Linked DNA regions of Mus musculus. The protein of the gene in region 7 purifies or fractionates together with the protein of the main gene of each other region. This does not show direct contact. Links are inferred from orthologs where the notes say so. Each region holds a gene or a part of one and is shown on either strand. Other genes may lie near its edges. The genes, in order: Bet1, Vamp8, Stx6, Vamp3, Pttg1ip, Stx8 and Stx7.

Region 1 (4,171 bases), on a different chromosome or scaffold from region 7:
CTTAAGTAAATACTTATAAATGAACTAAAAAGGACATTTTTCCTTTACTGTAAACCAATTTTGTCAACAGCAGAATGTCTTTTGCTTCTCTGGCCTCTTGCACCTAATGAGCACTTTCTATGTACCAGACGCCTATATTTCTCCGTTTACCACAAAAGCCATAACAAAATGTTAAATATTTCAAAGAGAGGGGACAGTTGCACACTTGCTGGCTGGCATGGTCTCTCTCTTTCTCCACACATATTTTCAAACAGATTAAAAGCTGGAGGACAGGGCATAGTTGTTTTTCGCAGCTCACCAACTAAAATCAACACTTAAAATAATCTCTGCAAACTCTTAACAAGATTTAAGATCTTCAACTTGTTTAATGTGACTAAGTAATTCTGGATTGGATAGTTAATCACTGGACAACTTCATTAACTAATTTGTCCAAAATTAATGGCTATTTTGATTTATTTCTTTTGTTTTGACTCTCTAGCCTATCTTATACTTAATTTCAGAGTTCTTCTACTTTGTTCTTTTAAAGCAAAATGTTCCTTTTTTTGATCCAGAAATTTTAATGCAGTTGCAAATTTGATCTTTCTTCACATCATCTTCCACCCCCAAACAGAAAAACAAAACAAAACCAACTAAGGTAAAATAAAATACTACAATTGCTATTCCAACTGAGATCCAATTTTTCAGTGAGAATTAATTACTACTATGATGAACTGTAGAAAGGCGAGTCTTGAAGGTCATTTCCAGCTGATGCCATCTGAAAAGTGCTACTTCCTTGAAGCAGGCCAATTCATTTAACAGCTCCTGTGTAAGGTGGCAGGTTTTACATACAAATGCTTATCAGACTCACTATTATTTCAAATTTCAAATTCAGGTCAGCACACAATGATACTTTTAGGTCTTCATAATTCAACACCAATTTAAGTGATAAGCATACTTAAACAAATAATTACCCCTCTTCTTCACTGCACTTCAAAAAGACTTAGGAGGGGACTCTTGCCTGCTGATTCTAATTTAATTGAAAATCTAATTTAACATCTTTCTGAGTAATTGTAACATACAATACAAGTCAGAGATAGAAACCTACTGTCAAATCCCTGACCTGCACGTATTAAAAACAGTACAGCACAAACAAAATTCCAATAGGCCAGTGGCCTACTGATGAATGTAAAGTCCTTGAATAGTCAGATCGTTCGGGTGCCTCAGGGTCCTAGCTTCACTCAGAGTGACTTCATCACCACAACCTCTTGTATACATCATTCATAACTACCCTGAATCTTGTTTGGCCATCTTCTCATCTGGGACTTACTTCTCCCAACCCTCACAGTCACCAGCATCCTTCAGGTTCTCCGGCTCCAGGAAGCCCACCGTGAGCCATGGATTATTAAGCCCCCACTGCATTTACTATCCGATGAACTTAACCTGTACTGGGATGAAGTTACCACCTTGGATCGTACTTTGTCATCTGCTTCCGCAGCAATTTATCTTCTGCTCCACAGTAACCCTGAAAGCTTTGGGAAGCACATGGTGCGTCACAATAAATGTCTGCTGTTATTAGTGTTGGAAAAATGTAGGCATATATGACTAATCATGTTTGAAAATAGTTCTTTAGGTTATTTGAGATGAACTAATTTCTTTCAATGACTGAAAGGATTCATAAAACTAAATTTACAACTTCTTCACATGCAACTACTTATTGACAACCCTGTCAATCTATATTACTGACACCATTCAAGGCCCTTATTTTTCAGTGGTTTTAAAGTCCACACATTCTATTCCTATAACCAACCTTATTGAAACTACTACCATGTCTCTGCACTGTCATGAATATTGTGTTCCTTCTTACATAATCAAAACCCATAACAAGCCGTGAATTATGAGTTGCAAAAGAGGCTTTAGTTTTCATACCTAACTTTAAGTGTTTGTCCATTCACTGGCTTTAACACCTCAAATTTTTAAAAACTATTTTTTTTTTTACTATTCCAATGTCTGCCAGAACAGCAACATCCTTTTTAATATTTCACACATTTTTTTCAAGCATTCTGCCCTTCCTTCTTTAAGACATGGCTAATAGAGAAAGAACTTCAGTTATTACTAAGCTATTCCTTCCCCTGACCCATTTAAGTCATCAAAACCAACATCTACTGCCTTAGCAGTGGGACAAGGTCTAGGTCAGAAGTGTTCCAAGTAACTCGCCTTTGACCCAGACCTTTCATAACAGGCACTTTAACAATAAGGACACGTAAATTCACCTTTGTAACTCACGGTTATCAAACTAACGCATCATTATTAGTGGGCTTAAAGCTTACTACTCCCCAAATGTCATTTCTTAAAAAAAAAAAAAAAAAGTTAAGATCCAGAATGAGTAAAGCAAAGGAAACAGCAAGGCTTGGGAAATTGGGTTACTCCCCAAACTAGCACATAGAAAAAGAAAAACTTATGCTAACCAATTCACCGCTCTGTGCAACCTAGCATATAGGTTTAAACTTTTGTCTAAATACAACTTCAGGAAACCGTTCGGAACTAGGACACAGGAAGAGAACCTTCTCCAAAGAACCCAAATAACTCGCTTTTGAACACCAAAGTCATTGACAGAGGGCCGGTAGTCTCCTCCCACAACCCTGCTCCCGACTCAGCAGGTCCTAGGGTCCCCAAACTTCGAACCTCAGCACTGTTCTTACCCAGGCCTGCACGCCTCATCCTGCCAGGAGAGGGAAAGGCGGGCAAGGAGGAGTGAGTAGGAAAGGGCCAGGGTCACCCGACCTCGGCTTCAGTCCCAGGGCTCCTAAGAGCAACAACTTTTTGCCTCAGAGCGCCACGACATCAGTAAAGTCTAAACACCGCGCCGGTTTATGTCGTCACTCGGACACATATAGGCGTCCTGAAATGCGATTACTAGTTGCATTCTGGGAAATGTAGTTTTCCGTCTTCTGGGGCACTGGGTAAGAGGGGCGTGGTAGGAACAATGCCTGGAATGGGCGGGGCTTCCGGAAGGGCAGCGACAGCTGCTGGGGCTCTAGTCCTGTTATTCTGGGTCATTACTTAATCCAGAACTTTTAGTATGGCACTTTTTGATGTTAGTGCCAACTTTAACCTGGGAGAGTTACCCCTCCCTAGCCGGGATGATGGTTGACTCTTTCATGATTTTCCCTTGCACTCCCGCTCACCCAAAGTCAGAGGTGAGAAAGTCAGTGCAAACTTTGTTCAAACAGAGTCTCATCTTACTGTCTGAGCCTCTTAGCAGGAAAGGAAAATCAATCCTCTTCCTTCCTGATCCTGCCCAGTGGAATAGTTAAAAAAAAATATATATATATATACACATATATATATATATATATATATGTGTGTGTGTGTGTGTGTGTGTGTGTGTGTGTGTGTGTGTGTATGTATGTATGTATGTATGTATCCTTGCAGTAGAACTTCCGGGTAGGGAAGTGGGGAGTCTCAGCTTCCTAACGCATTTGATCTAAGTCTGGAAAGAACTGTGATATTTAGCTTTTAAACACTCCACCCTACTTAGAGCTTTTAAAACGTACACACAAATACCTCATACTTGTTTCCATGGAGCATGTAGCCATCCTCTGCTACATATGCAGCAAGTACCCTTAGCTGCTGAACCACCTCACTACACACATTATACTTCATAATAGAAACACATTGCACTAACACTCTGCCCTCAGCTTACTGTGGTTTGATGGCTGAAAGAAAGAGTCTAAGTTCCGCCTTCTTTGCTTCTATTGCTATGTGATAATTTTCAATTCAACTAATACAGAATGTGAGATGAGTATGGGGATATAACAAAGATCCTTGATGATTTTATCACAAGTTCTTATTCAAGTACAACATGTGACTATGGGAACTATAAGTGTTCATACTCGAGCATAAACATGCCATCTTCACCTTGTAGCTTTTAATATCTTGCAAAATTTGATGAGTCAGAGGGCTATCAGAATCCAGAGCATATTAATGAAGAACAATAAAAACACTTATTACAAATATATCATTTGCACATGAGCATGTTATATTATGCCATTAGACTTCATTTGCATGATACAAGATCAAAGACAAAAATTATTAAGAGTTTCAGAACAATGAGGCACACCAAACAAGTGTGGGGGTTTGAGCAAGGGCACAGGGTCACTACATTGGCTGCATAACCATAAACTTGCATTTG
Region 2 (4,213 bases), on a different chromosome or scaffold from region 7:
TACACCTGGAGGGAGAATGCTGAAAGGCCAAGGGTTGCCCGGAACTCATAACTTTGCCTTTGGGACATCAACTCCAAATGGTTGCCAAGGGCAAGCTTTGAGACAAAAATCAGTTTCATACCCCAATGAAGCTTAGGAATGGAGCAGTTGACTGAACTGTCTCAGAAATGGCTCTGTGGGTGGGCCCCTCACCCAAGCTCAAATCCAACCACTCACTGGGCTCTCTACCAGCCAGCAGAGTAGCAAGGAAGCAGAGGTGGAACCTCAGCCATCTCCTGCATAGGCAAAAGGGCAGTAGACATGACAGTCTGCAGTCCCTTCTGTTCACTTTGCCTCCCCACCCAAACTTCTCCCCCTCCCCGAGATCTGCCCCCACCAACTCCCAGTTTTCTCCCAATCTCACCGTGGCTTCCAAGTCCTCTGTCTTGTTTCGGAGGTGGTCCAGGTTCTCCCCTCTGGCCAAGATCCGCTCCACATTCTGGGTCATAATATTCTTGACTCCCTCCACCTCACTCTGCAGGTTCCTAACTCGGTCATTTCCGGCACTCCCACTGGCCTCCTCCTGGATGTCAATAAGGGGTTAATTAGGCCGGGCAGCAGAGGATCCAAGAGGCCAGAGGAGGTTGGAAGAACTAAAGTAGATTTTAGCCGTTTCTGATGCTTCAACTGTTTACCAGGAGAATGTTCTACGTAAATGTTCACTTCGATGCAAGCACGTTTATATCCCAGATCAGCCTCGGGTGGTCAGGTGTCACTCCTCCCTTGTTTTTTCCCCCACAGGCTGGGTCTCCTGTTGGCCTGAGGCTCTGAGATTAGAGTGGACAAAAAGCCCCAGGGCTCAGCCTTCTCCACCACCCTAGCACTAGGAGCCACCTAAGTGCTTGCTTGCACCACCACACCTGGAATTTTTTTCCTTCTAAATGGGTCTAGGGATCCAATGCAAATCTTCATGCTTGCGTAGCAAGCCCACTGAGCCACCTCCCCAGATTTATTTATCTGAGGCAGGTTCTCATATAACCTAGGCAGGCCATAGGCTTCCTAAGTAGGATGGCCTTAAACATCTGACCCCCTGTCTCTACTTACCCTGGGCTGGGATTCCAGGTGTGTACCATTATCCTTGTTTTATGAGGTGCTGGGGATGAAACCCAGAGCTTGACGCTTGCCAGGCAAACACTCTATCAGCTGAACCACATCCTTAGTCTGTCATAAGTGCATTGTGTGTGTGTGTGTGTGCTGGGGAATATACGTGTATGCACATGCCACGGCACGCATGTGGAGGTGAGAGGACAACTTTCATGAGTGGATTGTCTCCTCCAGTTGGATGGGCAGGAGAGAGCAGGATACTGAATTCAGGCAGGCAGGCTTGCTCTGCAAACACTTGTACCTGCCCAGCCATCTCGGCTGCCAGCCATGTAAGTGCATTTTTTAAGTCCCAGAAGATGAGGTTTGACCCTGGATTCTCATCCACCTTCTTTGGAGGATTTTCAGCGTGACAAGGAAAAACAAAAAAAAACAAAAAACAAAAAACAAACAAACAAAAAAACAGCACACGACTGCCCCTGTCTTGACTCCACAAAGAGGGTCAAGGAGAAAACCCAGCTGACGTTTCCTCAGCAGAGCACAGCCAAGAACTATTAACTGGTTCCTGTAGCCTCCCTCGGCTCAATCCTAGTGGGTTCTCTCTAAAACTGTGAGAGTTGACCAGCAGCACACTCTTGCCCGGCCCAACCCAAATAAATGCCCTTCTCCAGACAGCTGTTGGTGAGTTCTGGTTCCAGCCTACTGGGCAGTGTAGCCCCGGTTCAGTGGATGTGGCCCCCAGAAGGCATCATGTGCCGTTGGACCATATACTTCTGCTTTCCCCACAATTTAACGCCTGGTAGGCCGCACACCACCGCCTGCTTATGCAGATATTAATAAAAGTCCTTCCTGCTGCGGTCGCTCTATCCAGGAGGCCTCTAGATAAGGCTTTTGAACAAGGAGGGAAGAGGCCTGACTCCTCCCTTAGGGACCCAGGGGGCCTCAGGTACCGGCCACGGGTGTGGGCTGAAGCTAGATTATCGGGAAGAACCGCCATCTGGCTGCTTTACAAACCCTTGGCACTGTTGCTAATGTTTCTAGAAAAGGGTGGTGCTTTTGGTGGCCAGGCAGATAGATCCTCTGGGTGTCTGCATAGATACAGTGCGAGGGTAAGGGGGAGAACTCCAGTCCGCGGGGCTGGAATCTGAGCCCCAAAGAGCAGGAACGCTTGTGGCCCGGTAATGTCACAACACCGGGCTCAGGCCCAGCTGGAGGAGGCGGAGGAGGGGGAGGGCGCGGCGCAGCAGCTCGGCTTGGAATTTGGGTCCCCCAACCCCCACCGAAATCCTGATCGGATCCAGCACCGAGGTCACGGGAGGAAGGAGGTGGAGAAGTGTCAGGAACCCCTGGCCCGGAGTGCGGAGCTATTTGTGGAGGAGTTGTCAAAAGTAAGGAGACAGAGGCAGCGCTGGCCCAACCCCGCCAGCCCTCTGACTGCCGCCAACTTACCTTTCTCGACACAGGCAACCCCCAGGCCCGATCCCCCTCTGGCAGCTGCTCTAACTCGCTCTTTTCTTGGTCCCCACGTCACTCACCATGTCTCGGAGCACTTGGGCCTCTCAAAGCAGAACTTCGCCTAGTCTGTTTCCACCCAAGGCAGCCACAGCTTCACTTCCTGCTTACTCCAACTTTCAGCCCGCCTCCTGACCATCCCGCGACTCCAGCCACTCCGGCTCCTGCCACACACGTAACTGCAGGTTTCTCCAGGTAGGCGGCTGCCCTCTGCTGCCGTCCTCCTAGTCTCCTCCCAAACAAAAGCTTAAGCAACAGGGTTGGGGGAGGGGGGAAGGAGAAAAGAAGGATCAACAGTCCTCCTAAGTTTTCAGAAACTTCTTTTATGCTTCAAAGAAGTAATTCTAGTTTTTCAGGGACTTACATTAGCATTATTTAGATAGAAACGAATGTACAGGCGAAGATACCTTGTTGGGCAACCTTTGTCCCCAAGGGCCATCCTGTATGAGAAGAGAGCTCTAAGATCCCCCAGAAAACGGGGGCTAGGGAGATGGGTCAGCAGTTGGGATCACCCGCTGCTTTTGCAGTAACCCAGGTTCAGGTCCCTACACCCACCCCTGGCTGCTCACAGACACCTGTATCTGCATCTCGGGGGGGGGGGGGGGGCAGGGGCGGTCCAGATGCCCTCTTCTGGCCTCTGTGGGTATGTGAACATACGTGTGCATACATACACACACATACACATAATTAAAGTCTTTAAAATCTCCAGGAAAATTCCAAGTTGGCCCTGGGGGTGGGATCTTTGTCCCCCTCTAATGTTCTTCGGGTGCTAAGGCTGACCTCAGGCAGTGGGAGGAGTGCAAACAGCAGGGGCAGGGCACCTTATCCTTGTCACAGGACACAGGACAGTCGGGGAAATGGCTCACTCACCAGCCCCTCCTTTCCTTCTGGAGTTGAGCAGTCCTACACTTCCTTCCAAAGGTCACCGTGGGGGTTGGTGACCCTGGTCAGTTGTCAGAGGGTTGTCAGACAGATTAGGATGGGGGCCTAAGAGTAAAGGGTTTTTCCACCACATGTGGCTCTCCGCCAGAGAAAATCTGCTCTTCTCCGGATGGAGTTTGTCAAGACAGAACAATAACAGGGCAGAAAGAGAACAGACATTCTTTCCCACCCCAGAGTAAATAACACCGTCAAGGAGGAAATCTTAGCTCCTCCAACAAATAAGAGGGGTTTTGTTTTGTTTCATTTTGTTGGCTATAATAAATTTAGAATCCCGGAATCATTTTGGGACACTTATGTGTTTTCCCTCGTGCCTGCTCAGGCAGCCATGGAGGAGCTATATCTACAAACACTGCACGCTTAGTTTTACAGAAGCAAATTAAAGCAACTAGTAACACTTTAAAAAAATCTTTAAAAATTTTTTTTGTTGTTGTTGGTTTTTTTGGGTTTTTTTTTTGGGTTTTTTTTTTTTTTGTTTATTTGTTTGTTTTTTTTTTCCGAGACAGGGTTTCTCTGTATATCCCTGGCTGTCCTGGAACTCACTTTGTAGACCAGGCTGGCCTCGAACTCAGAAATCCACTTGCCTCTGCCTCCCAAGTGCTGGGATTAAAGGTGTGCATCACCACTCCCGGCTAAAAGTTTTTATCTTATTATCTTTAAGTGTGTGTGTGTGTGTCTGTGT
Region 3 (4,349 bases), on a different chromosome or scaffold from region 7:
CCTCTCATTATCTGGAATTGAATACTCCTCTCCACAGGCCTGGGAGCTCCTTGGGGACAAGAGTATTCATCTCGGAGTCCTTAGTGCCCTGAGCAGAGTAAAGAAGCTCAGGTGTGCTGGATTTTGCCAATACTTTGTACACTGTAGGAGAAAGATGTTACTATGGTATCCATCCAGAGACAGGACAGTCAACAATTAAGAACCTGGCTTGACACGGCTTCTGGGACTAGCAGAGCTGAGGTTTGACCTTCAAGGATCAGGCTCATCTGCTCTTCCACTTACATGCCATTGTCAATGAACATTTTATCTCTGAATTTCAGTAGGTAGGTAGCCAAAGCCTGCAACTCTCCCGGCAGCTCCCCTTCCCGACACCTGCCACCCACCGCTCCTTCAGGAGTTCAGAGAAGCCTGGCGTCTTTGACTTTTGCTTCTCACTTCTCTTCTCCTCCCTTCCTCTATCATGTCCTCTTGCTGTCCTCTAAACAACAGCTTCCTTCAGGGGTCCCTGACGGCATTGGGGCCTCAGAGTTCACATAACATTCCTCCTACTCCACCCCTACACATCCTGGCTGTCCTAGAACTAGCTCATTAGACCAGACTGGCCTCAGACTCATAGAGATCCATCTGCCTCTGCCCCTTGAGTGCGGGTCTTAATGGTGTGTGCCACCACCACCTTACATCTTAAAGATGAGGAATTGAATGGGGGACTTCAGGTTCAAAGGGAATTTGTTTGATGCAAGCTCCAAGGAGACTAAAGAATTTGGCTAAGTCACGTAACCTCTCGGAGTCCAAGCTCATTCATAAAATGAAGATGATAAATAATAGGAATGTGACAGTGAGATAACTTAGAATCCTGTCCAATGCTCAGTCACTGCTCAGTGATTATCAATAATCAAAGGTCACAGTTCTCATCCAAGAAGTTACGCACAGTGTGTCTAATTGTGCCATATAAAATGCTCTGGATGTTCTGCAATCGTAGTTGAAAGGAAGTGATCCCGTCTGGCTCCTTCTTTGCTTTCAGAATGAAGTACAAATGTCCGGGATCTGTGGATCTGTGTGTCTGGGGTTGTGTGACCCTGTACAGGAAAGAATGAAGTCTCTAACAAATTAGAAACAGTAGGATCGTCCTCCAAAAGAGTATTGATTGAGGATGTTTATACAGCCTTTACACACTGCATGACCTAAGACCTTACCATAATCAGATCTTTTGAGAATCCTTTAGTGCAAGACGATGATTAGATGGGCATGTAAATCACAGGGAGTTAAAAGCAAGTATTAAAAGTAGAGAAAAGGTAAAAGGTCTATGCAAATCAGACACAGCAACAGCTTTCTTAAAATCCTCATTGCCTTCTCCAGGCAGCAGAAGACCGCCCCCACTATCCAGAGCCCCGCCTCTCGGGCCTAGTGACGCAAGCTAGGCTCCGCCCCTCTCCGGCGCAGGGCCTGGGCGATCTGGGTCACGTGAGCCTGAGTGCGGAAGTGAGGCTGCGGTACGCGTCCATGATTGGTAGTGGCGAAGGTTCTGGGGGCGGGGCCAGACGCCGGAGGTGCCGGGGGAGGAGGCTGCCGTGGGGGCCGGCTTGGAGTGGGATTCGACCCGCGGCGCTGACCGACTGCTGGACCGACGGCCGACGGGCACCCGGGTCTGCGCGCACTGCTGCTCCGGGTCGCCCCGGCCGAGGCGCTGGCCACGGTAGACCTCAGGGAGGGCTCGGGCTGCCGGGCCGGGCGCCATGTCCATGGAGGACCCCTTCTTTGTAGTGAAGGGGTGAGTGTGGGCCGAGGACTCCCGCCTCAGAGAGAGGGGAGGGAAATCGAGGCAGGGCGACACAGCCTCTGTGCTCGGACACCGCGCGTCGTTTGGGGCCGGGCCCCTGGGGTCCCACTATCGGCCCGCACCGCCACTTCCTCGGGGTCGCGCGCCGCAGGTGGGGAGCGACGCGCCGGAGCCGGCCGACAGCATCTGGGCAGGAAAAGGGAAATGGCCCTCTTGGAGTGGGCGTGCGCGGGGGCGAGCTCCATTGTGGAGTCGTGGAGCTAGCTCGGGACGGCCACCCCGCGGCTTGCCCGGTAGTGTCCAGCGGGTGCGGGAGCCGGTGCGGGAGGACGCGCGCTTTCCCGGGGGAGGAAAAGTCCTCCAGGCCGGGTGCTGATGTTGGAAGGAAAACAATATGCAATCAGCCAAACCAAACTTTCCGAGGGTTTCTTGTGAGCCACCGGGGTTTTCCCACCGTGTCGAAGGAAATGAGTGTTTCTATTGAACTCCTTGGTTTCATCCTGGGTGTTTGACAGGTTTCCCTCACTTCACGTTCTGCCTTTTTAGAAGCCTACTGCCCTCGTTTTGCGACAGAACTGTCCTGACTCCATCTTTGTTTATCTGTTGGGAGATGAAAACATCAATTGCACTTTGTTGTATCAACTTTGTAGCCATTACACAAAAGCAAGAAAGCGCAATTATGATGTCGCAACTTATTTCTAATAATGTGTCAGTTTTATGCTTTGAATGTCAGAGAAATGTCAAAAATCTGAGAACTGCGAAGTTAAGACAGAGTAAGTTCTACTGACTGCAAAGTGTTCTTTGCTTTTAACTAGTTGCTACTTGCATCTTACTTGTATAGTGGTAAAAGCTGACCAGTTGTGTGGGTGTTTGTTTTTGTATTTAAGAGTCCTGGGAAACTTAAAATGAGATACTTTACTATCCTTGGTGTGTACAGTCAATGCACAATCAAATATATTATGACTGCTTTTTTTTTTTTTTTTGGCTTTTTGAGACAGAGTTTCTCTGTGTAACTCCCTTGAACTCACTGAGATCTGCCTGCCTCTGCTTCCTGAGTGCTGGGATTAAAGGCCAGCTTGGCTAAGATTGTCTCTACGTTTCCTTAAAAGGGTTTTTCTTTTGCCTTGCTTTAATTTAGTCGGGGAATAGGAAGGTATATATTTAACAGTAAAATCTGCCTACCTGGAAATTGTGTTCTATATTATGGAATTGATTAAGATTTTAGTTGGTTTTGTTTTTAAATTTAGAGTTAGAGTTGTATACTTTTCCCTTGAATGGAAGGGTTTTCTTGGGTTTTTGTCTTATTTTGTGGAGTGGTAAGTGAATGTTGTGGCATGCATGTGGAAATCAGAGGACAACTTGCAGGAACTTCTCCTCTTTCACTGCGTGGGTCTCAGGGATCTAACTCAAGTCTCAGGCTTGGCCGCAGGCACCTTTGTCTGCTGAGCCATCTCACCAGCCCCAGAACTGAAGTTTTTGACATTCAGGTTGCAAAGGTTATCTCTGGCAGTGAGTAGATAGCAGAGGTAACCAGCGGATTTCTCTGTTCGCCTTTGAGGGAAACATGGAAAGTTCTTTATTGCTCAGCCATATTGGTATTTACCCCTGCAAGTCTACTAGCACTTACTTTACTTGCTGACTAGGTATTACTACTCTATTAGGACACTGTCCTCGGTCACTTGTTGCAGGAGAAAAGACAAGCCAGCCACATCAGTGTCTCAGGATGTGTGATAGCATATCCATGAACATCATTTTATTAACAGGATTGAGGGCCACTGAGATATCTTGGTAGATAAGGGCTCATGCAGCCAAGCCTGATGACCTGAATTTGATCCCCAGAACCCACCTGCAGGAATTTACACACACACACACATACACACACACACACACACACACACACACACACACACACACACTCTCTCTCTCTCTCTCTCTCTCTCTCTCTCTCTCTCTCCAAAGTTTCAAAAACAAGATTATTGAAAATGCATCACAGGGTAGAAAAAGTAAAGATGCCTCAAATATGACTCTGAAACAAGGTGCTTCTAGAGTAATCAGCGGAATAAATCACATCAGAATTAAGTAGACATGACAGGTGATCGGTAAGTGTAGCAGTGTTTCCTAGAGATGATGAGCATCTCAGGTGTTCAGAGAAAAGGCAGTGCCTTAGGAATTGTTATGGTGGGAAAAGCTATTGGAACAGGGATGTTTTGAAGGTAGCAGAATTCAGACAACTTAGACCTCTTTCTCCTGTCTAGGGATTTAGAAAAGAGACATGCTTCCTGCTTCCATTTTATTTCTTCTATCTTTTTTTTTTTTTTTTTTTTGGTTTGTTTTTGTTTTTCGAGACAGGGTTTCTCTGTGTAGCCCTGGCTGTCCTGGAACTCACTCTGTAGACCAGGCTGTCCTCGAACTCAGAAATCCGCCTGCCTCTGCCTCCTGAGTGCTGGGATTAAAGGTGTGCACCACCACTGCCCGGCTCTTCTGTCTTTTGATGTGTTTGCTTAAAACTACTCAGTGGAAGCGGGAGGTGGTGACACAGGTCTTTAATCCCATCACTCCAGAGGCAGAGGTA
Region 4 (3,558 bases), on a different chromosome or scaffold from region 7:
CTTACATGTGGCACAGATAGTTGTACTCCTCTGTTCCAACCGGATGCCTTTCTTCCCCTGGATAATTGCCCTGACCAAGACTGCCAGTGTAGTGTTGAACAGCCATGAAAGTGAAACATCCTGTTGTTCTGCTTCAGATCTTAGAAGGAAGTTGAGTCTCTCACCATAGTATGTGATACTAATGTGGGCTTCTCTGTAATTGAAGTCTCTTCTATTCCTGGTTTGCTGTGTGGATGTATCCCAAAGGCCTGGGCTTCCTTCTTAAGTGGAAGTTTAGCTCAACATAATAAAGTACTGATCTGGAAAAAAATACAAAGTGCCCATAGGTGTCATGTGGAGTTTTGTTCTTCCTCTCCTTTCCGTGTAACTGTGACCATGTCCATTTAGGTGGTTGACATCATGAGAGTCAATGTGGATAAGGTGTTAGAAAGAGACCAGAAGCTCTCGGAGCTAGATGACCGCGCAGATGCACTGCAGGCAGGTGCCTCGCAGTTTGAAACAAGTGCTGCCAAGTTGAAGAGAAAGTATTGGTGGAAGAACTGCAAGGTAATGCTCTCTTGACAGACCTTCACAGCGGGCCTCCATACCCCAAGTGTTGCACAGGCACTCTGTTGCATTGGGTGACTCTGGGTAGTGGGTAGAATCTTGGCCAACTATGAGTCTATATCCCTTTTCCTGGCCCACAGCTGGGAATCTAATGCCATGTTTTGTGGCTAAAGTTAGAAGACATGCAGAATCAGACGGCCCAAGCAGTCGTGGGCACTAGACCTAGGTAACTGAGAACACACTGACGGGGCTATTGGCTTTGATGCTCAGTTAACTGCCCATTCTGGGAATGGCTCCAATTTCAAAAGTTAAATGCTGGGCTCGTGAGATGGCTCAGTGGGTAAGAGCACCCGACTGCTCTTCCGAAGGTCAGGAGTTCAAATCCCAGCAACCACATGGTGGCTCACAACCATCCGTAACGAGATCTGACTCCCTCTTCTGGAGTGTCTGAAGACAGCTACAGTGTATTACATATAATAAATAAATAAATCTTTAAAAAAAAAAAAAAGTTAAATGCTAAGAAATCCCACCTTGTTCAAAAAGAGGAGAAAGCAACATATGAATATTGTCCAAAGCAGACTTAGCAAATGGGAATGTCTGTGATTAGAGCTCACACACTTCCTGTTATGCTTTGTTTAGAAAGGACACTCTGAGATAATGGGACAAGATCAGGAGCCTGTGTGGAAATGTGTGTGTTTTCAGAGGTCACAGAGGATTGGAATCTACTTCTGAAAGCCCATAACTAAATTTCAGGACTTAACTGAAAATATAAAATTTAGGCTTTAGAAATTATATAAATTATTTCACACTGTAGCGGTTGCGGCGAGCACTGTCTGTTTTGCAATGTTAAATGGATCTGTCTTGTTGCAGATGTGGGCGATAGGGATCAGTGTCCTGGTGATCATTGTCATCATCATCATCGGTGAGTTACCCATGGTCATAGACGTTCGTCTGTGCAGCAGCAAAGAGTGGATTCAGTCCAAGGTTTAAATATCGTTCTTTATCAAGTATTTTAAATACTTGAGGGTGTTTTGAGATGATGGTATTGCGGGAAGTTTGAGGCAGGGTCTCGAGGCAGGGTCTCGATGTTCAACCCAGGCTGGCCTTGAACTTGTGATCTTTCCGCCTTAACATTTCAAGCGCTAGGATTATAGGCCTGTGCCACCAAAATGATCCTAAATATTTGAGTTTTTGTAATTAAAGTCTGGTGTTTTGTTAGATGGATGATGGATAGATGGGTGCACTTATCCTTTAAGAATAGCAAATCTCACTCCTAATGTCTGGTCAATTTTTCTCTCCTGTGCAGTTTTAGTCTGTGTCCTTTTGTGGAATGTAGTGATTAGCTGAGTTGATCCATCCCAGCTATGCCACCTGTAGTAAGGCTCTGTGACTTTGGGCAAGCAGTTGGGTCTGTCTGGACCTCAAGTGTCCTCATGAATAAAATGAAGATGGTAATGGTGTCCACCTTGTGTTGTTAGGACAAACCTGGTTATTACATAAGAAAGTACCTGGCATAGGAGAACAGAAATAGTAATTATGTAAATAATGTATATAGCTAGCACATAGCTACTCCCACCACTCTTGTGACTGCATATTAGAAGAACTCACTTTATTTTCATTCCAGTCTATGCGAACATCCTAGCAAAGCATGCCTTCCTTTGCTAGTTCTTGTTAGTATTTCCTTTTCCACTTTTGAGTTTAGTCTTCCCCAGAGCCCTGTAGCATGTAAAGAAGCTGCCAGTGGAAAACTGGCCAAGTCAGTTTCTCTCTGTCCCTCTTTAGACAGTAGAAGTCCATCCCTACTGAGTATTTGCACACACAAAGACTAACATGCCCTTTTCATTGTTTCTAAATCTTCCCTGCCTCTTAGTGTGGTGTGTCTCTTAATGAAGAACCGATGAAACTGAAGCCCGATATTCAGGATCTTCTTCAAGACTTTCTACTTAGAACCTGCCGTGTTATCGAGCTTACCTATTGTTTTTTTTCCAAATGATTATTTTTGTTAGTTTACATACAGTTTAGTGCCTAGAAAATGTGCCTTTGTTTTTCATATACACTCCAAACTGGAGGTGTGACCTACCCTCCCCACATTTTGCACAGTGCCTTTACAGATTTCTGGACTGGGAAAGAGGACTTGTGTAGTTCTGAGTGCTGAATGGAGGTGGATGTTGTCACTCAAGATGACTTGTTGTGGATTCCAGGAAGGGGGTTTTGTTCAAGGCAGCTGTCCCCACATCTGACATCATCTTCAAAACCACATTTTAAACTTTTGGGTAATTAGATTCCTAACTTGGACCTTCCAAGAAGAACACTACTGCCTAACAGCAATGGGTGACAATAGCAGGGTGTGCCTTATTTTGATAGCTAGGAAACTGTTCTTTAAGATTATTCTCCGTTTGTAAGCACTACTGACTCCCGCTGTATTTAAGATGCTGGTGAAGAGCTCATGCTCTTATGTTAGATATGACTATGTTTACTTTCTTGTTCTTGTTGTATATCACTCCTAAAATAGTATTTTAACCAGAAATAACCCTTTAAGAAGTTTTTATAGAACTATGACCAAAGTTTCTATTTTGCCAAAAGTTAAGTACAAATAAATTGCCCCAATAGATACATTCAAATAAGTGCCAAATGTAACTCAAGGTGTCCTTTAAGAAAAATGTTAATACTGTGAGAGCGAGCCTTCAACATGTCGGCAGTCCATCCTGTGAAATGCTATAGAGAAGGCTAGTCATTCTGATTTGGTTTCTTCTTTAGAGCTATGGAGGTGGGCTCAGATCACACCTGTAGACAAGATACTTAGCCAGCAGTTTGTAGACTGAGCTAGGCTGTGGTCTCTAGTGCGATGTGAGCAGTAGCCGTGCAGCCTCACCAAGGCATCAGTCTGCACAGAGTTCCAGAAGACTGTGTACTGCTTGTACTCATCTCTGTCTTATGCTTGAGGTAAGCCACCGGTCACTCGTAGAGGATAGCTAACCAGAGATGCCTGGTGCTCTTAGAATGTAGCCATTG
Region 5 (4,124 bases), about 53 Mb from region 7:
ATAATAAAGAAAAAAAAAAAAGAGAGAGAGACAGAGAGACAGAGAGGGGAGGGGAGGGGAGGGGAGGGACAGATCGACCCTAACAAGCACAGAGAGGGAGCAGCACAGTATGCGGTCACTCAGGACAGCTGCACCATTAGCTGGTTGTACTGCCCCTTAGCGCTCCTACACCCCCACACTGGGATCCTTCTCATTAATGCTGACAGCTGAGGGTGTGCTGAACACACCCACTCTCCAGCGTTTTCAAAGTCATCCACAAGAAAGGATGGTCTTGCTTACTATCAGCCCACACAATGTCCCCGGAATGACGAGGTCCGGATCTGTTACAGGATGTTTTGGTAACTGGGCTTTTGAGAACTGAAAGACTGAGTTCCAAGAAACACACCCTGAGCCCCTGAGTCCCTGAGAATGGCCATGCTGGCCCTGCCCATTACTTGGCAGTCTGAATCCCCAGGGGCCAGCCCTCCTCCTCCACAGACCTTGTGTACCGGAGAGCATCAATGGCAGGCATTCTGGCTGAAGTAACTCCCAGACTCATGTGGCAAGGAAGGAAACACTGACAACCTGCTGCCCCGTGGCTCACATTTCAGGGAGGCCACACACAGTATCTCTCACCTCATCACGGGACACAGCCAACCACACACTGGAGATAGGAACAATGTCCTTGTGGTTTCTCAATGCTGATCACGGATGTCCTGACTCTGAGGCACTGTGGCTTAGAGTTCAGTTTAGAATAGCTATTTACTCATTATTAAAGAACTTTCAGACTCATTTAATAACTAAATGGAAAGGCAATAAATAGTGACTCGCTTCTGAGTGGGTCCTTGACGTTTCGGGTGAGTCGACTCAGGTCCTCAGGACAAAAAGACACACCTACATGTGGGAAAGGAATAATTGTGGAAACTAAGGAAGTGAACCTTACTCATTGTAAACCTATGAAACATGCTGCCATCTCCTGTGCCCCCAAGTGAAATGAACTTGAAAGGGCTTAAGAGTGCCCACTCTGGTGACAGAATTCAGAACTCAGAGGACATCTCGAATGTCATGTTGGGAGTACACTTGCTTGACAAAGTAGTCCTCAACACTGCACTGTTTGAGAAAAGGAGGGGCAGGACACCCCAAAAGGCATGTATGCAGTATTGAATAATACAGTTCACTAAGGCAGGTTCCTCAGGGACAGAGGGAGGGGAACTGCAGATTCCTCTACAAACTGGGGTGTTCAGTAAGGACCCACTACTTGGAGACCTGCACCAGCCATCACTGTGTCTTAGTGTTCCTAACACCACTGCAGCCCTTTTAGGGACTGTTTTCCCAAGATGAAGCTCAGAGACAGTGACTCCACACGCCATTAGTAGAGGGTCCAAAAGCCCTGTCAAAGTGTCCTCAATGTCGCAAATTTCACTCTACGGATCTATAATCTACTACAGGTTCTGTGAAGCACACAAAAAATATTTAAAGGGTGAGTTTTGCCAGGCAGGGCAAATGCTTTATGGTCAGCATTTGAGAGGCAGAGGCAGGCAGACACCTTTAAGTTCAAAACCAAGCTGGGCGTGGTGGCACACGCCTTTAATCCCAGCACTAGGGAGGCAGAGGCAGGCGGATCTCTGAGTTCAAGGCCAGCCTGGTCTACAGAGTGAGTTCCAGGACAGCCAGGGCTACACAGAGACACACTGTCTCGAAAAAACAAACAAAAAAGTTCAAAACCAGCCTGAACCCAGTCTCAAACAACAAAAAAAGGCGAGTTTTGGGATACAGGATACGGTAATGTAAATTTATGCAAATTCCTTGTAAAGACTAGCCGTTTTAAACATCAGCTATCTCCCTATAGAATGTCAAGGAGTAGAATCCTTACACCTAACACGTGGTGGTTGGTAACAGGTGAAGGTTCGTGCCCCCCCCCCTCCCCCCAGTATCGCAGCAGACACCCTTGAGACACTGGGAAGGGTCCTGGGTCTCCACAGGCTCCCCAACACTCTGCCTGGCATAAAGTCCTTACTGGAGAATCTAGCCCCAAGTTCCCCGGGGCGGCCAGGGTCAGCTCCTTTAGTCACCCTCACCAAGGTAGCAGGAGTGAGGCAGTCCCAGACCGGTCCTAGGCATACCTGGGAGCAGATAAGAAACTTAAACAGAGAGACGCGACAACTGGCAAAAGGTCACAAAGAGAAAACACACCGTGACAGGCTAGAGTGTAAAGACACCTTGAGAGAGCCTGAGCTAACAAAAATACTCTCTTGCAGCGCCTCATCAACTCTAGCGAGCGTACAAAGGTCAAAGTTGACCAAGCCTCAGTCTTGGACACAACTTGTCAGCTCCCTGATTCCCCTCAAACAAAAACAGTGCTGGAATGCAGATGGTCCCCGAGATGCTAAGCAGGTGCCGAGGCGTCGGTTCCGACTAGCCGAGTCTTTCGTGCCTCAGGGCACGACGTTAACTTCCAGCAGAGGCTGGCTGCCTTACCCAGCTTCAAGGGAGGGCGTGAGCGCAGAGGCAGCCAAGCCCGCGGGCTGGACTCCGCCCTGGATCCGACCCGGCCGCCCTCCTCCTACTCCTCGGCCCCTAGGCCCACGGGCCTTACCCACTCTCGGAGGTTCCTGCGCGGAGGCTCCGGACAGAAGCAACAGCAGCACGGCACCGAGGAGCATCACCCAGTGCGGCGTCAGCCCAAGGTTAGCAGGCGCCATGGTGAGTGCGTCGTCGGCGGGGACCTCAGGCGACTCAACTCCAACGCCGAGCTAGGATGTTTCCACAGTAAGCGCTCCGCCTCCGTAAGCTAGCCAGACGGGCGGAGCTTGCGAGTGCGCAGCCGCTGGCTCCGCCCCCTGACCTCCGCCCGCCTACGGGCGCAGCTGAGGCTTAGCACGCCTGCGCGCTGCTGGAACTGCGGGGAGGGAGCAATAACCGGAGCGTCAGAGCAGCGCGCGTGCGTAGTAGACTACTAGGCTGGGCAGTGGACAGCGAAGCTTTGCCACTTGCTCTGGAATGGAGCTGCTGGACTCTGAGGCGGGTTCTGAGGCTCAGCTGCTCTGCCTAACACAACTGCTCTGTAGCCGCCAACCCTTGGAAACCTCTGCCAGTCCTGTTAATTCTCTGCCAGAGCCGTATGCGTGTCCAGAGGGCAGGTTTTGTGGATTTACGTTAAAACAGCATCCAAGCTGTCTCGAACTTGTTACTGAAAGGCGTTTAAATCACTGAGGGAATGTGGAGGGTGTAGCTTAGATGGTAGAATTGCTTGCCTGGCAACCAATGCATGCACAAAGCCTCCGAGTTCCATCCTCAGAACCTCACAAATGAGTCGTGATAACACACACCTATCATCTCAGCACTTGGGGGTGGAGCATTGGAAGGATCAGAAGTTCAAGGTCTTCCTTAACCAATGAGACCCTGACTCAAAGAAAACAAAACAAATCCTTATTGATAGTGACTGGGGACGCAAACTTGAAGACACAGGAGCTTTGAGTAAGAGGGTACCTTCCCTGCTTGATTGTGCATGAACCAGAGACCTAGATAGCCAGACACCAAAAAGATCAATGCGGGACTCTGGATCCCAAGTTTCTCGACTCATTAAAGACCCAGACTCCAGTAGGAGTAAGCAAAATAGGATACAAGCTTGAGCCCACCAGCTTTATGTCCATTTGATACAAGCTAGTTATGACTGTAAGTGTTGCAACTCTGAAGGGAAAGGCTTGAAGCGTTCCAGCTCCACTCCTGGTGCTGCGGCAGAAGGTTTTCCCAAAGGAAGTATAACAGTTCTGCTGCAGGAGGGGGTTCCCATGGAAAGTGTCACAGGTCTGCTCTGCAGAGGAAGACTTCTCCAGCCAAAGTGTAACAATTCTGCTTTGCCAGAGGGAGGCTTTCCCCAGTGAAAGCGTTACAGCTTTACTTCGGCCAGGCAGGTTTTCCCCAGCCAAGTTCTGTTCCGGGGAAAATGTTACAGCTCTGCTAGAGAGGCTTCCTGGCAATTGGGAGCCAAGGAATACCACAAAGTCACACGACACATGAGGCACACAAGAGATTTATGGAGAGGGAAAAAAAGCAAACAAACAACAGCAACAACAACAACAAAAACAGGAGGGCAGCTAATTCTGCTAGGGTGAAAAGCAGCAGAGAACGAAGCCAAAGGCAGA
Region 6 (3,558 bases), on a different chromosome or scaffold from region 7:
TGGAATTCTTCTGTAAAATTCACTGTATTTTATCCACCCTGGAGCCATGCAGGAAATTGTGTTCCCCCAGTCTATGCTCAAAAGCAAAGCCCAACAGTTCCCTCAACCATACTTCAGATGACAAGGTGTCAGGTCCCATTACCATCCTGACTGGTCTCTGAGCACTCTGGTGTATTTATAGCCCATGTGAACACTGGAGAGTGCGTGCTCTGTTTCCATGAAAGGAATGTTAACCATGCATGGCTCTTCTTCTACAACTGTGGGAATTTTCTCCAATCATCCTCAAAACCCAGAGGACATGTCTGTTTGTGACTCTAAAGATGAAGAAGGGGTGGGGAGAGCCCCACTCTGACATTTGGAAATGTGAAGAACAAAAGGACCCATTTAAATGAAAACATATTGGACCATGGATGAAATCAGAGAGGAATATTAAAAAGGCAGAATGCCACTGTTCTCACTGCTGCTTGCTAAAAGTAGCAGTTACTTGGGGCATGTTAGGGTGCGAGTTGGGGCGCGCCTATAATCCCAGCTCTGAGGAGGTGAGAGGATCTCTAAGAAAGAGTTAAAGGTCAGCATGGTCCAGGCCAGCAAAGGCTTCCAGTGAGACCCTCACTCAACAAACAACAACAAAGTAGCAGCTATATAGCTCAGGGAGAAGTAGGACACACACACCACAAACTCTATCCAAAGGGTACAACACACAACACACACACACACACACATACTCGCACACTCAAACAAATGTAATTTTACAAATTTTAAATCAAGTCATAAAATGAAATGTCACCCAAAAAGAAAATAGCCCAGAAACCAACTGCACTGTGATGCCATAGGGGAGCATTCCGTAGTAAGATCTCTTAAAATTTTATAAGAAAATAATATTTAATAATCAAGAGAAAACTTCCTTAGTTGTAATAAAGCAGAAATTTCAGAATATACAAAAAAGAAGCAAAACCACTGACTTAAATAACTGAAAAAACAAAACAAACAAAAACTCCTGCATGCCATTCCCACTCAAGGATGACAAAACGCTAGTGAACTATCAGAAAACTCAGAACTACATTGAAAAGGACAAGATGCTACCATGAAGTACAATTTTATCTTGCAAGGTAAGACTGGCTTAGTGGTAGAACCCTAAAAAGAAAGCTCGCAGTGTCAAAGATTAAAAACAGAATAAGCATATGATTAACACAGTGTAGGGAAATTTAGACGACACTGTCTGAACAGTATCACTCAGCTGTGATCTAGAAGTTCTTACTAACAGATCAAGACTCAGGAAATACTAAGGGCTCAAAGGAAACTAAAGTATTACTTGCAGATGGAGAATAATCCCCTTGAGAAAGTGAAAGAGAATCAGTTCGGGGCTGGGGAGATGGTTCTGTCAGGAGAGTGCTTGCTATGCAAGCACGAAGACCCGAGTTTGAGGTCCAAGCACCCATGTAAAAAGGCCAGGCACGCTGATGATCCCAGCACTGAGGATATGGGGATGGGAGCATCGATGGGGCTCACTAGCCATCTGGTCTACCCAAATTGGTTAAGTTCCAAGTTCAATGAGAGATGCTGTCTCAAAACAAAACAGACAAGCAAACAAAAACCCCACAAGCAAACAATAACAAGAACAACAACAATAAGACAAAAAAACTACCCAGCAATCAAGAAAGCACCCATCCTTAACCTCTGGCCTTCACACGGAGACACACACGTGTATATACACACATAAACAAGTACATATACTGCGTGTGTGCACACACACGCACAAAGTCAATTCAGTAGAGTGATCAAGCCAGGTATGGTGGCTCAGACCTACTATGCCAGCACTCAGAAGGTGGAAGTAGGAGGATAAGGAGCCCAAGACCAGCCTGAACTACAGAAGCACAGCCTGGGTGTATGACAGCCTGTCTCTTAATTAATTAATTAATTAATTAATTAAAAACATAAAATAATATCAACAAAATCTGAAGGAATATTTGTAAACTGGTAGTGGGCACACAGTAACTACGTAGTAAACGCTGCGCTTAGAGTGGATCAAAAGGAAGCACTAGCACTACTGAAAACCTGACCCCGCCCCTTTACTTAATCCACAAACCCACTACCTGTCTATTTAAAATCCATTTGGAATCTTGTTATTGATAATTAAGATACAGTGCAATTTTTTTTTAGTGACATTTTATAAAATTACCTATAAAATGACAAACATCTGTAATCTTAGGCTCAGGAGATGAGATCATGGTGTAAGTCTAGCCTGGACTACACAGTGATTCCAAGGCACCCTGGGCTACACAGCGAGACCCTGACTCAAAAACAAGCAAGCAAACAAACAAACAAACGAATGAATGAACAAACAAGTAAAATTACCCTGAAGGGGAAAAAGAGAATGAAAATAAGACAAATGATATTTATGCAAAATAAAGGGGAGTGCCTGTGCCTATCATAGTGTGCACATGACTGGGTACTGCATTTATTTCTTTGGTTTGCTGCTTAACCTGTTTGGTGTTGAGATAAGATCTCCCTATGTAGCCCACACAATTGGATAAGGAGTTATTATAAACAAAACACAGGGGGCTAGGGGAGGGCTTGGGAACCGGCTTGCTGCACACTCTTGGGGATCTGTGTTTCATCCCCAGCAGGCCACACAGGAGGCAAAAGTCAGGCACGGCAGCCTGGAGCTAACTGGCCAGTCTGACTAAGTTGGTAAACACCTGATTCAATGGCAAACCCAGTCTCAAAAGGACAAGGTGGAAAGTGACAAAACAACTTCTGGCCTCCACATGCACACAAGTACATACAGGTGCATGCACACACACACACACACACACCCAAGGGTAGGGTGCCAGCAGCTGCCAAAGGTGTGAACTCTATGGAGTGTGATGCCAGTGGCTATCAAAAGTATGAAGAACAGCAGCTATATAAAGTCAGTGAATGAAATATAGAGGATTTTATATCTCCGGGGAGTGGCAAAAAAAGTAAAATTCGCTACAACATATGAAAACACATTTCAAAGATTTAAAAGACTTACACACACATACACACCACCCCACAACGCCCCGCATGCCCCAGATCTAGCAATGGTTTCAGACATCGGAGCTTAGCACGTTGATTCCTCCATGTATTACCTTCGGTGTCTTTTCACCTCTTCTTTCACACTGATTTCGTTCTTGAATCTTCTCAGCGATTTCTTGGGCTATCTGACACGTAGAATCGTATGTGGAGAACCTGCATCAAAGTCAAAGTCAGGTTAAAGTTCTTTAAAAGAAAGTGCTGGCTGAGTGTGGTATTGCATGCCTTTAATCCTAGCATTGCAAAGGTGGAGGAAGGAGTGCGAGGCCAGCCTGGTCTAAAAGAACACAGTGACAAGGAGACACTGTTTCAGGGCAGGAGACACAGAGGAAAGATGAGAAGTGACGTGCAGAAGCACACTGCAGGGACAGCAGGAACTGTGTATCTGCAGCAAAAAAAAAAAAAAAACCGCTCTGACAGGAGAGCCTGGCAGACTCCTCAGCCTGCCACAGTTCTCTCAGAACGCTGACTGGCTTTCCACTTGCTGCTCAACAGTGTTGG
Region 7 (4,355 bases):
TTCAGAATAGACTCTCAGCAGATATTAGTTGTCTGGATCCGGTGGCAGGAAGGATTCAAGAGTCTGGACAGGACACTTAAGGCTTTGTTGTTCCTAATTACCTGTGTGACTTAGAAGTGTTTGGTGTTTCAGGTTCCTTAATCTGTATTATGAGGAAACAGAACCAGATTTTCTAAAAGGGACTCTGTAGCTTTAACAGCTAACATGACTTTCTATTAGAGGTTATTGCCTTGTCAAAGAATGATTTTTAAAAATAAAACAATTTTGAAAAAGGGAGAGATTTCAAAGAAAAACTTGAATTTCCTCTGTATCTTGGAAAACATACAATGTCACTATGATGGACTAATACTTCTAAAAGTTCACAGTGGAGATGATAGGTAGAACTCAGGGGTAGATCAACTACCTGAAATGTGAGGCCTTGGGTTTGATCCCTCATTCCTCAAAACAAAACCACAAACAACCCGGGACAATGATACAGGTCTGTACTCTGAACGATGAGGCAGGTTGCAAGTTCAAGGTCTACCTGGATTACAGAGTGAGTTCAAGGTTAATATCTGGGTAACCTGTGTAGACTTTGTTTCAAAAACAACAACAACAACAACAAAAACCACTGGAGATAGAGGACAGAGTGAAGGCCTCTCATGTCCAAGGACCTTGGTTCAATTTCCAGTGCTGGACAAAACAGCAAACCTCAACAGTTCACCATGGCCCGAGCTGAATCACATGACTTTAAATGAGTACATGTTCTTTGATCCACTGGGTGGATCCTACTGAGAAGACGCTGTGTTTGAGTCTGACCTAAGTCATCTACGTATGCTTGCAGGTGTAAAACCAACCAACATACAGTTTGCTCTGTGGTTCTGATTCACAATAGTATGGATTCCCCCTACCTCCACTTGAAGTCTATCGAACTTTTGGTATCATGTGTTTTCATGCTCTTTCCAGAAATAACACCATCTTAATTATAGGCAAATCCAAGGCAATCTATTCTAATTAATTTGGCAAAGTATTTCTTTCACATGAACAACTGATGTTTCTCATCCGAGAGGTCACATGCTTGAAGAGTTATTGTTGGAACAGTGTGTGCTCTTAAAGCCTGGGAAAACCACATCCTGTATTTCAAGGATGCGATACCAACTATGAGCCAGGAAAACATCTTTATCAAGTGGGCATTAGGAGATTATCTTTCATTTATCCTTCCGGGGCTTTAGCTAGGATTGCCTTGACATTTTTGCAGTGACATTTTAAAAATGGAGTTGTCAAGTCTACCACAGAGCTGAGGGTTAGGAAACAGAACCTTTAAAAGCTGAGAGTGCTCCCTCAGTCCAGGGAGTCTGGCGCCTCCGAATAAAGAACCCAGCTCTTCTCTATTGTATTGCTTCCTCTTCTGTTGCCCATAGACATCACTTTGTCACCCATCAGAGCTTGGCTCCCCAGCAATTTTGCCAGTCCCTCCAAGCTTCAGCTGTCACTGGCCAATGGGAGAGACGCAAGCCCCGCCTCCTCCTTCCTGGGGCTGTGCCCCGAGCATGCGCAGTGGGCGTGCTTGTGCCGCCGCCCATCAGCTGAGACCGGCTGCGCCAGGCAGTGGGCCCCCGGGTGACAGCGGCTGGAGGTGGCCGAGGAAGCCGGCGAGGTCAGGGTAAGAGGAGACTGCAGAGGCGGGGGAGAGGGGGGCGGGAGGGACACCTCAGAACTGCAGCTCGCTAGTGGTTGCTTTGGGGTGCGCAGAGCGGGGCTCCCCAGGGCGCAGGGCCGGCGCCTCCCTCTCGGGCTCCCACGCCCCGCTCCGGACTCCGGGACGCGACGTGCGAGCACCGGGGCGCGCGGCAATGGAGCCTTGGGGACCGGATACTACCGCCAGATCCTGGCAGGCTACGACCGTGTTCCCATTCTCTGTCAACTTCTCCTCCGAAGAACAGAAAGGGAAACGCGATGGGCCCTGGTCATCTGGCCACAGGTTCGTTCCGCGGCCCAGGGCCTTTGCTTGGCTGTTGGCCTTACTCACACAAGCTAACTTTCTTTGACCTACCTTGTGCTCGTTTCAATTGATTTATGCAAGACACATAACAAGGTAACAAGGTATTTCGAGAATTCGCATATGTGTTTTCTAGGTTAAATTCAGACCAAAAAAAAAAAAAAAGCTTGGACGAGGGTGGGAAGAGGAAGGAAGCTTTACAGTCAAATGCTAATTTTTCCTTATAGCTGTTAAAATTTTGCTTGCATTTTATATGCATATATCAATTTTTGATTGCGTCAGATCTCGTATTTTGTCAGGAATTATTATTTACAAGTTTTCCACAATCAGGAAAATAAAAGGAATTAACTGTGAAACACTGGTTTGGTCCTGTTGGAGGTAGGCATTTCTTTTAGGTGTACTCTGAGCCGCAGTGAACAGAGATTGATAACACTGTTAAATTGTGCCTTGTGGTGCCGATGGGTCTTCGGCTTTGCAAGCTGCTTTCGAAGTTGGCCCCCAGGCTTGTGACTAGTTAAGAACGAGGCTGTAGTTTCCCAGTGTCTGGGGAAGTTAATAGAACACAGTATTAACTCACTGACCTCTGGGTTCTTTTCCTTCAGCTAGCTCACTTCTTATGCTGCTCCTGATTAACAGTCGTTTCTAATTCTGATTATTATCCCAAGTTCATCCATACGCTGCTGGTGGAAAATTATGAATAATTATGTTGAGCTATATGCCACTAAATGGTGTGTGCACAAGGCCCTGGTTCAGTCCCCAGTACTGCAGGGAAATATTACCTCTATGTCTACTAGTACTGCTAGATAAAACTCCCACAGTTAAGTCTGTGTGGATTTTTCTCTGGTTCAGTGTAACTTGAAATATTAATGTGTGAAACTGTGGAGGAAAAAAAATCTTGGTTAATTAAGCTGAAACCAAACAGTGTAGCGTTTGGATTGATGAAGGAGCTGGGCAAAGATGCACTTGTGGACCGAATACTCATATGGAAGATTGAGCACCCTCATGATTGATTGTCTCCTATGATTCCTCTCCTGTTTGTTTTAGGAATTGAAAACAAAGAGTGTGAATGCTCCCATCTTCTAAGTATGATGCATCGCTTGAAGTAGAAGTTACATTGATAGAGACTTCTCATTTCAGACCTGGCATCTTTAGTGTGTGATAACACCTTACTGAGACAAAGAGCTAGTCCTCAAAGGGGCTGGGTGTGTATCATGGAAAGGGCCATCTACAGATAGAAAGGGACACTGAGAAAAGCCCAGGTAGCAATAAGCCTGAAACAGTATTTTAGAAATGTTTATATTTACTCTTAGGCTGGGCATGTGTTCATAGGAAATCGGTACACTTGTTCATTCAGACTTACAACATTTATTCAGGATCTACTTTGTAGCCAAGTACTTAGAGAATAGACTAAGTCCAAGATTTACACTCCCCCACACACCACACATACACACACACACAAACACACACATACACACAGCACACACACACACCATACACACACTCCACACGTACACACCACACCCCACACACACATATACACCACACACGCAATACACTGCACACACATACCACACACACTCACACACCATACACACACATCATACACACCACACACACACACACACACACACACACACACACACACACACACAAAAATTAAAACCTGGGGAACAAAGGAGGAAACTCATATTTTATGCTGGGCTTCATGATTAAGAAAGTGAAACTGACCATTTGATTTGAGCAGGCTAAATTTTAAGCCAGTGTCTGCTCAGAGGAAGTCTTCAAGATTCTACAGTATGTCCATTAGTAACTACAGGGTAGTGTTTTACATTCAAGACTCTGTATCAAAATCCCCTTTGTTCATTTTTAAATTGCCCTTTCCACACAGTCTTGAGACAGCGCTCACTATAGGTGTTACTGTTTGACTCTCCCGTCTCCTCTTTCACCTTAGTGTTTATCTTCATAAAAAGATAATTACTGAGCTGTTGAGTTGAACCCTGCCCAGTAGTACTTTCTGTGGGGGATGAAGGGAATATGTGAGCTGTCCCAGCTGCTGGCCACTGGCCACATACAGTTTCTTAGCACTTGAAAGGTGGCCGAGGTGGCCTTCTTCTACCTTAGTTCATTTTGATAGTTGTGTGCAGGCAGTGCAGGTGCACATGAGGAGTGATGTAATTATTTTGAGCAAAGACACTAGGACACAAATGCTTTGAGTATTGCAGCTCAAGCTAGGCAATGCAGATGGTTATAGAGTACAAACATTTTATAAGCATAGAGTTAATTAGCTCACATGTAAAAACAGACTTCAGAGCCATTTGTCAATAACTGTCTATAAACATAAGTGTTTATTTCTTTCCAACAAAGGTAACCACTGTCC

What was found.
Region 1: the proteins of Stx7 (region 7) and Bet1 purify together in Homo sapiens (affinity purification with mass spectrometry; 3 studies listed by BioGRID and IntAct, with this or other methods). This does not show direct contact. The link is inferred for Mus musculus from reciprocal best matches to the Homo sapiens genes STX7 and BET1.
Region 2: the proteins of Stx7 (region 7) and Vamp8 purify together in Homo sapiens (affinity purification with mass spectrometry; 7 studies listed by BioGRID and IntAct, counting the BioPlex papers as one, with this or other methods). This does not show direct contact. The link is inferred for Mus musculus from reciprocal best matches to the Homo sapiens genes STX7 and VAMP8.
Region 3: the proteins of Stx7 (region 7) and Stx6 purify together in Homo sapiens (affinity purification with mass spectrometry; 3 studies listed by BioGRID and IntAct, counting the BioPlex papers as one, with this or other methods). This does not show direct contact. The link is inferred for Mus musculus from reciprocal best matches to the Homo sapiens genes STX7 and STX6.
Region 4: the proteins of Stx7 (region 7) and Vamp3 purify together in Homo sapiens (affinity purification with mass spectrometry; 3 studies listed by BioGRID and IntAct, counting the BioPlex papers as one, with this or other methods). This does not show direct contact. The link is inferred for Mus musculus from reciprocal best matches to the Homo sapiens genes STX7 and VAMP3.
Region 5: the proteins of Stx7 (region 7) and Pttg1ip purify together in Homo sapiens (affinity purification with mass spectrometry; 3 studies listed by BioGRID and IntAct, counting the BioPlex papers as one, with this or other methods). This does not show direct contact. The link is inferred for Mus musculus from reciprocal best matches to the Homo sapiens genes STX7 and PTTG1IP.
Region 6: the proteins of Stx7 (region 7) and Stx8 purify together in Homo sapiens (affinity purification with mass spectrometry; 5 studies listed by BioGRID and IntAct, counting the BioPlex papers as one, with this or other methods). This does not show direct contact. The link is inferred for Mus musculus from reciprocal best matches to the Homo sapiens genes STX7 and STX8.

The regions. Positions count from the first base shown.
Region 1 is NC_000072.6:4,084,099-4,088,269, forward strand, and holds the start of Bet1 (BET1 homolog), read right to left. Parts: upstream 2,833-4,171; 5' UTR 2,698-2,832; coding exon 2,679-2,697; intron 1-2,678. UniProt on the Homo sapiens protein: Required for vesicular transport from the ER to the Golgi complex. Functions as a SNARE involved in the docking process of ER-derived vesicles with the cis-Golgi membrane.
Region 2 is NC_000072.6:72,387,859-72,392,071, forward strand, and holds the start of Vamp8 (vesicle-associated membrane protein 8), read right to left. Parts: upstream 2,810-4,213; 5' UTR 2,619-2,809; coding exon 2,616-2,618; intron 563-2,615; coding exon 404-562; intron 1-403. UniProt on the Homo sapiens protein: SNAREs, soluble N-ethylmaleimide-sensitive factor-attachment protein receptors, are essential proteins for fusion of cellular membranes.
Region 3 is NC_000067.6:155,157,160-155,161,508, forward strand, and holds the start of Stx6 (syntaxin-6), read left to right. Parts: upstream 1-1,543; 5' UTR 1,544-1,733; coding exon 1,734-1,768; intron 1,769-4,349. UniProt on the Homo sapiens protein: SNARE promoting movement of transport vesicles to target membranes. Targets endosomes to the trans-Golgi network, and may therefore function in retrograde trafficking.
Region 4 is NC_000070.6:151,047,905-151,051,462, reverse strand, and holds part of Vamp3 (vesicle-associated membrane protein 3), read left to right. Parts: exon of another isoform or gene 1-387; coding exon 388-546; intron 547-1,416; coding exon 1,417-1,468; intron 1,469-2,416; coding exon 2,417-2,433; 3' UTR 2,434-3,558. UniProt on the Homo sapiens protein: SNARE involved in vesicular transport from the late endosomes to the trans-Golgi network.
Region 5 is NC_000076.6:77,580,379-77,584,502, reverse strand, and holds the start of Pttg1ip (pituitary tumor-transforming gene 1 protein-interacting protein precursor), read right to left. Parts: upstream 2,849-4,124; 5' UTR 2,682-2,848; coding exon 2,576-2,681; intron 1-2,575. UniProt on the Homo sapiens protein: May facilitate PTTG1 nuclear translocation.
Region 6 is NC_000077.6:67,969,427-67,972,984, reverse strand, and holds part of Stx8 (syntaxin-8), read right to left. Parts: intron 3,214-3,558; coding exon 3,114-3,213; intron 1-3,113. UniProt on the Homo sapiens protein: Vesicle trafficking protein that functions in the early secretory pathway, possibly by mediating retrograde transport from cis-Golgi membranes to the ER.
Region 7 is NC_000076.6:24,147,767-24,152,121, forward strand, and holds the start of Stx7 (syntaxin-7), read left to right. Parts: upstream 1-1,522; 5' UTR 1,523-1,642; exon of another isoform or gene 1,643-1,960; intron 1,961-4,355. UniProt on the Homo sapiens protein: May be involved in protein trafficking from the plasma membrane to the early endosome (EE) as well as in homotypic fusion of endocytic organelles. Mediates the endocytic trafficking from early endosomes to late endosomes and lysosomes.